Macaca mulatta: one gene and its partner. The protein of the gene in region 2 purifies or fractionates together with the protein of the main gene of each other region. This does not show direct contact. Links are inferred from orthologs where the notes say so. Each region holds a gene or a part of one and is shown on either strand. Other genes may lie near its edges.

Region 1 (4,294 bases), on a different chromosome or scaffold from region 2:
CCGTCTCAAATAAAAAATAAAAATAAAAAACAGAACAGTGGTCCTCAGCTTTATAAACACCTCCCTTAGCTGATGTGAAGGCCAGGATGTCAAGCAGCGGCCGAGGAGGACGCATCACAGCAGCTCAGGCCTGCTAAGGCAGTGTCTGCTGGAGGCGTGGCCGCTGTGTGTCCACCCAGACCTGATAGGGCGTGGTCACTGGAGGAGGCGTGGCCGCTGCGGGTCCACCCAGACCTGATAGGGCGTGGCCATTGGAAGAGGCGTGGCCGCTGTGTGTCCACCCAGACCTGATAGGGCGTGGCCATTGGAGGAGGCGTGGCCGCTGCGGGTCCACCCAAGCGCGCTAGGGGCGTGGCCACCAGAGGAGGCGTAGCCGCTGCGAATCCACTTTTGCCCCGGAGAGTAATCGGACAGCGGAGGGGTCAGTTCCCGCCTTGCACGTGACAGGGGGTGAGAACCTGACCCCCAGCCTGACGCCGGACCCTGGCCTCCTGGGCCCACGGACGGCCTCCACTGAGGCCCGATCCCGCCCGCGACGTGGGGGACAGCAGAGGCCACCCCAACCCAAAGCGGCACCTCGCAGGGCAGCCCAGCCTGCGACAAGCGCGCAAACTTCCTCAGCGGGACCGTAGCAAGGGCAGGCCTAGGGGTCCCTCGCGCTGCTCAACGCCGCTAACCGGCGCTCAGAAACCAGCGCTCTGCGGCACTGGAGAAAGCACTTCCCGCCCTCCTACAGGCTCTTGGCCAGGGACTGCCAGGGGAGGCGCCCCTCACGGACGCCCCGCCCGCCCCTCTCAAACATGGCGGCCACAGGCGCACCAGGGAAGAGCCCCTCACAAACATGGCCGTCCGCCGCTCTCAAACATGGCGGCCACAGAGGCTTCAAGGGAAGCAACCCTCACGAACATAGTTGCCTGCCCCTCTCAAACATAGCGGCCATAGGCCCACCAAGAGAAGCGCCCCTTACAAACATGGCCGTCCGCCCCTCTCAAACATGATGGCCAAAGAAGCTTCAACGCAAGTGCCCCTAAAGAACATTGTGGCCCACCCCTCTCAAAACATGGCGGCCACAGGTGCACCAAGGGAAGCGCCGTTCACGAACATGGTCGTCCGCCCCTTTCAAATATGGCAAACACAGAAGCTACAAAAAAAGCACCCCCCGCAAACATAACCTCCCAGGCCTGCCATGGGCGTGGGAAACATAGCGGCTACAGGGTTGCCAAGGGACGCGCCCTCACGAACATGGCCTGCCACAGGACGACTTACTGCTCCAGTGTCCCAGCACTGGCCCGTAGCCCGCGAGCTGCGCCCGTCACTTACGTAAAGGCCAACACTGTGGGGTCACATGACGAGGGCGCTGCGCTGTGATTGGCTCTGCTGACGTCGGACGCCGCCGCGGCGCGCTCTGCAGACTCCGGGTCGCCGCTCCGCCGGGACGCGTTGGTCCGGGGCGCGCGGTTCTTGGCTGCGGCGCTCACACTCATGAGGAGCCGAAAGGTGAGGGCTGGTGCTCGGCAACAGCTGCGCTGGACAGGGCGGGGACTCCGGGCCACCTGCTGTCTGGAGAGCCGGGGCGGGGTCACGGGGTGCCTGTGACCTAGAAACGGCCTCCGCTTGGGCCTCGCCCCCGGGAGAAGCGGGGGGCTCCAGGCCACGCTCCCGGGAGAAGGGGCGCTCCCAGACCACGCCCCTGGGAGAAGGGAGGGGCTCCAGGGCAGGGTCCCGGGAGAAGGAGGGCTCCCAGGTCACGCCCCTGGGAAAGGGGGAATCCGGGCCACGCCCCCGCGAGAAGGGGCGCTCCCAGGCCACACCCCCAGGAGAAGGGGAGCTCCCAGGCCACGCACCGGGGAGAATGGGGACCCCGGGCCACGCCTTAGGGAGAAATGGAGCTCAGAGGTCACGTCCCCGGGAAAAGGGGCCTCCCAGGTTATCGCCCCCCGCAGAAGGGGGGCTCCGGGCCATGCCCCCAGGAGAAGGGGAGCTCCCAGGCCACGCTGCCGGGAGAAGGGGGCTCCGGTCCACGCCCTCGGGAGAAGTGGAGCTCACAGGTCACGTCCCGGGGAGAAGGGGGCCTCCCAGGCCACGCCCCCTTGAAGGGAGATTTCAGGCCACTTTCCCAGGAAGGTGGGGTGCCCTCTCCAGAACTGGTTTCAACTCCTGGTAGTGCTGGATGCTGCGGAGCTGAGTTTGTGCCCCTCAACTGCTGCCACTCGGTTGGCCCCATGTACTTAATGTGCTAAAAGTGGGGTGATGTGGGATCCACCCAGAGGGTGGTGAGGATTGAAGGGGGGTGCCAGTGTCTGGCAAGGGGCAAGTGCTTACCGCGTGGGTGTAACAGTTAAAGGTGAAAGACCCTTTTCACAGTGCACTTGGCGCGGGTCCAGGTCCACCTGGGAGGTTCTGAGCTGCTTGGAGGCTTTCTCCTGGTTTGTTCAAATGGAGTGACCACTTGTGAATTCCAACTCCTTTTACTATTTTTAATCTTTGAACCAAAACTAGGCAGCATACATTTGGATCTTTTTTAAAACCCAGTCTGGTAGTTTCTGCCTTTTGATTGAATTGTTTAGCCCGTGCACATTTAATATTATTGATATACTGTAGTTAGGTTTACATATGCTATTTTACTTTTTCTTTACTTTATACAAGTCTGTCTTTTTCTTCCCCTATTCCTTCTTTAAGTGGATTAAAGTGAATATTTTCTAATGTAGCATTTTAATTTAGTGATTTTTTTACTACATTTCTTGAGTTTTTTCCAGTGCTTGCTCTGTGTTTTACCGTATACATCTTAATCTTCATACTCTCCATATACATCTTAAGCTTCAGATTTGTACTAGGTTAATTCCAAGTGATAAGGAAAAGTTACCGTTATAGGTTATTTTTGTGGTATTTTGTTATATGTATTACATCTGATAATGTTACAAACTCAACAATACAGTGTGATCATTATTACTTTCTGTCTGTGGTCATTTCCTCAACCAGTAGGGCTTTGCCTTCACCCACTTTCTTTGTTTTGTTATTGGCAAATATAGTACACGTCTGTATATATTACATACATGTTATTGTATACAATTGCTTTTTAAAATTATGAGAAGGAGGTAGAAAAATAGGCAATCAAACTATCTTTATAAGAACATAGGCCGGGCGCGGTGGCTCAAGCCTGTAATCCCAGCACTTTGGGAGGCCGAGGCGGGCGGATCACAAGGTCAGGAGATCGAGACCACAGTGAAACCCCATCTCTACTAAAAATACAAAAAATTAGCCGGGCGCGGTGGCGGGCGCCTGTAGTCCCAGCTACTCAGGAGACTGAGGCAGGAGAATGGCGGGAACCCGGGAGGCAGAGCTTGCAGTGAGCCAAGATCGCGCCACTGCACTCCAGCCTGGGCAACAGCGTGAGACTCCGTCTCAAAAAAAAAAAAAAAAAAAAAAAAAAAGAACATAATTACCTTTACTGGTGCTGTTTGTGTGGGCGTGTGTGGGTTTGAATTACTGTCTGGGGTCACTTGCTTTCAGCCTGACGAACTTCTTTTAGTATTTCTTGTAAAGTGAGTTTTTATTTTGTTTTTTTGTTTTGAGACCAGAGTCTCGCTCTGTTGCCCAGGCTGGAGTGCAGAGATGTGATCTCAGCCAACTGCAGCCTCCACCTCCCAGGTTCAAGTGATTCTCACCTCAGCCTCTGGAACTGCTGGGATTACAGGAGCCCGCCCCTACACCTGGCTAATTTTTGTATTTTTACTGGAGATGGGGTTTCACCATGTTGACCAGGCTGGTCTAAAACTCCTGACCTCAGGTGATCCACCACCTCAGCCTCCCAAAGTGCTGGGATTACAGGCATAAGCCACCATGCCCAGCCCATTTTTTAAGTATAGCTTTGCTGGATATAGGATTCTTGGTTAACAGGTTTGTTTGAGTACTTTGAATATGTTTGAATATTCTCCATTGTTTCAGTCAGTGGTTCATTTATTGAGGTTCCCTTCTAAGTGGCTTTCTTCTTGTGGCTTTCAAGATTTTGTTCTCTTGTGGCTTTCAAGATTTTACCTTTGATCTTTGTATTTTTACAGTGATGTGTCTGTGGATCTCTTTGCATGTATCCTATTTGGAGTTCAGTTCATTAAGATTCCTGGATATGGGGTCAGGTACGGTGGCTCACACCTGTAATCCCAGCACTTTGGGAGGCCGAGGCAGGCAGATCACAAGGTCAGGAGATCAAGACCATCCTGGCTAACGTGGTGAAACCCCGTCTCTACTAAAAATACAAAAAAGTATCCAGGCGTGGTGGTATACACCTGTAGTCCCA
Region 2 (3,715 bases):
CTTCCTCAGAACAGCTCCTCAGTCCGAGGGTCCAATCTCCCCCAACCACTCACAAACTTTGGGGTCTTTTTTTTTTTTTTTACCGTTTTTTCTTTCCCTGGATTCTCATAACCTGGACTTAGATTATAGTCTGTTTTGCAGACTTGTTTTCTTTTTCCTTAGGTTGCCATAGTTACTAACTTTGTATATAAAATAATCATCATTCCTCTTTATTCTCCCACCAGAAGTTTCAGTGTTTTCTGATGTGACCTTTGCAAAGGGAACTGGATGGCTTTTTAATCTTTTCCTTTCTGGTTCTACCTCTAGTACACATTTCTTGCTCTCCTTTTTGTGGGTCGTTAGCATCTAGCTTGACTTGCGCTTCAGATTGATGCTTCATTGTGCAGTATTTTTACATAGAGGGCCTCTGCCCATGACCTAGATAGAGGATTATGAGAGGGGAAATAACTGATTTGAAAAGAACAAAAAACATCTGCCCTAAACTGGTTCTACCTGTGTTACTTTGATTGTGAGTAATATAAGCAAATAAATTATATAATTACAAGGGAAGTGAGGTCTATCCGATTGTGATAGAAAACCTAAAGCTTTTGCTTTTTTTTTTTTTTTTTTTTTTTTGAGACAGAGTCTCACTCTGTCGCCCAGGATGGAGTACAGTGGCCGGATCTCAGCTCACTGCAAGCTCCACCTCCCGGGTTTACGCCATTCTCCTGCCTCAGCCTCCCGAGTAGCTGGGACTACAGGTGCCCGCCACCTCGCCCGGCTAGTTTTTTTTTTGTATTTTTTAGTAGAGACGAGGTTTCACCGTGTTAGCCAGGATGGTCTCGATCTCCTGACCTCGTGATCCACGTGTCTCGGCCTCCCAAAGTGCTGGGATTACAGGCTTGAGCCACCGCGCCGGGCCCAAGCTTTTGTTTTTTACGTCACATCGTCTTGGTCCAACCCAGAACTCAGACCACTGGCTTTAGTAGACTGTGTGCCTTGGTAATTTCAGGGCTGTTTGGGTTAGCAGAGTCTCACCCAGATCACTGCTTTTCATTATAATAGAGTAAATAACCAGTAAAAGGAACCCTCTGCCAGCAGCTATCTGAGGAGGTGCAGTCATTTTTGGTAGGATGGATGCTCCATACTGGGGCCAGAGAGAGGGTTTCTCTTCAGGTCCTGGCTCAGTTACAAACGACCTTGTGACCACCCAGAGCAAGGCAGCACATTTGCAGGCCCAGCCTCTCCTCATCAGTGAGATAAAACATCTGCCTTCTTAGACTTAGCTTCGGGAGCAGTTGTAGTCATCAAACAACATCCACATAAAGATTCACTGGACTGTCAATTGCTTTATAAAGAATATTGAGATTTGCTTGGAGAGGTTGGTTACCAGCTTTCCTAGAGTTTCAAGCCCACACAATTTAAATCTTATCTTATACATCGACTTTAGACTCTGCTGTTCCCACCAGTCTTCCTATTTACACCTTTCTGGTCTTTTTGTCCCTGTGTTCCATCATCCATTCCATCTTTCAGCCTAGAATTACCTTCCTGCTCCCCCACTGATCTACTGCCTGCCTTTTTACAGGGTAAGTTCAGTCCTGCCCCCTCTGACACCTTTAGATCTGGCGGCTCCTGCCCCCACTTCACTGTTTGTAGGTGTTGACCCTGATGGAGATGTACAGCTTTTGATGGTTGCTGCTGTGTATACCTGTCATCTCCTTGAAACTAAGCCTCATAGAGACAGGGCATGTTATGTAGCTAACTTGCGCTAGGCATATGATGGGCTCGCAGAAAATATTGATGGATCGGAGTGTGCCTCTGAAGTAAACCAAGGAAATTGTAGGAGCGTGCCTCTGAAATAAAGGAAATGGTAGTGCCATTCTAGGTACATTAACAAGAATCCTTCTGTAAGTCAGGAAAAAAAAGAGGGAAGGTCATTTGCTCAGCATGGAGTAACAATGATATTAGAAGCAACAGACTCGTGACAGCCTTCTTGCATGCTTTTCCTTGTCCCATCTGCCCAGCAGCCTTGGGAGGTGTGGGTGGTATGGCAGTGCCTGTTTGGAGACAGTATAATGAAACAAAAAGGCTTTGCGGTCCGCCAGACAGCAGTAAAACCTGAGTTTCCACCTGGGCCTCATTCCAAACCCAGGTGCCTGACACCAGTCCCTGGTGCCCATGTCATACCTTGATTTGTTCTGTGTGAGTAGAAAGGGACTCAGTGCCAGTTTTGCGGGTCCCCTTGGAGCAGTTGTTTGTCACCAATGTCACTCTTGAATACACTGCGTCCTTTAGTTCAAAAGAAGTGTGACTATGTTCATCTCACTCAAGCGCCTTCCTGTCTTCTTTGATTTAGGAGAAAGGATCCTGGGTTATGCTGAGGAGCCCTGCTATCTCTGGTTTGTCATGGAGTTCTGTGAAGGTGGAGACCTGAATCAGTATGTCCTGTCCCGGAGGCCGGACCCAGCCACCAACAAAAGTTTCATGCTACAGCTCACGAGCGCCATTGCCTTCCTGCACAAAAACCATATTGTGCACAGGGACCTGAAGCCAGACAACATCCTCATCACAGAGCGGTCTGGCACCCCCATCCTCAAAGTGGCCGACTTTGGACTAAGCAAGGTCTGTGCTGGGCTGGCACCCCGAGGCAAAGAGGGCAATCAAGACAACAAAAATGTGAATGTGAATAAGTACTGGCTGTCCTCAGCCTGCGGCTCGGACTTCTACATGGCTCCTGAAGTCTGGGAGGGACACTACACAGCCAAGGCGGACATCTTTGCCCTGGGCATTATCATCTGGGCAATGATAGAAAGAATCACTTTTATTGACTCTGAGACCAAGAAGGAGCTCCTGGGGACCTACATTAAACAGGGGACTGAGATCGTCCCTGTTGGTGAGGCGCTGCTAGAAAACCCAAAGATGGAGTTGCACATCCCCCAAAAACGCAGGACTTCCATGTCTGAGGGGATCAAGCAGCTCTTGAAAGATATGTTAGCTGCTAACCCACAGGACCGGCCTGATGCCTTTGAACTTGAAACCAGAATGGACCAGGTCACATGTGCTGCTTAAAATTCAGGGCTAAGCATTTTGGGTGATTTTAAACTAGGTGAGTGCTTTCTGTTGTTGTTTTTTTGTTTTTGTTTTGAAACAGGGTCTCACTCTGTCTATCAGACTGGAGCGCAGTGGGTGCAGTGGCAGGATCTCGGCTCACTGCAACCTCTACCTCCCGAGTTCAAGTGAATCTCGTGCCTCAGCCACCCGGGTAGCTGAGATTACAGGCATCTGCCATCATGCCCAGCTAATTTTTGTATTTTTAATAGAGAAGGAGTTTCACCATGTTGACCAGGCTGGTCTCGAACTTTTGACCTCAAGCGATCTGCCAGTCTCAGCCTCCCAAAGTGCTGGGATTACAGGCGTGAGCCACCTTGCCCAGCCTCCCTTTTTTTCCTGTGTGCCCGCTTCTTGTACTGGGTTCTTCATTCTGGACCCTAGGATGGGCCCTGTGAAGTTGGGGGGGACTACAAAGTTGAAGAAAACTAAGTGCTTCTTATCAAAGATTCCCCCCCATGTCTTGATGGGAGAAATGTGCAATTATCTGAGTACAAGTTGAAAAGTCTAGAGAAGTCTTCTGAGAGGAGGTTGCGTTTAAGCTGAATCTCCCTTTTTTAAGAAACACTCTTTCTCATCATTATAAATGCTCACTGTAGAAAATGTGCATAAGAGGTAAACAGTTTTT

The links.
Region 1: the proteins of STK35 (region 2) and C1H1orf174 purify together in Homo sapiens (affinity purification with mass spectrometry; 3 studies listed by BioGRID and IntAct, counting the BioPlex papers as one, with this or other methods). This does not show direct contact. The link is inferred for Macaca mulatta from reciprocal best matches to the Homo sapiens genes STK35 and C1orf174.

Annotation. Positions count from the first base shown.
Region 1 is NC_133406.1:236,858,740-236,863,033, forward strand, and holds the start of C1H1orf174 (UPF0688 protein C1orf174 homolog), read left to right. Parts: upstream 1-1,395; 5' UTR 1,396-1,482; coding exon 1,483-1,497; intron 1,498-4,294.
Region 2 is NC_133415.1:81,970,050-81,973,764, reverse strand, and holds part of STK35 (serine/threonine-protein kinase 35), read left to right. Parts: intron 1-2,335; coding exon 2,336-3,048; 3' UTR 3,049-3,085; intron 3,086-3,715.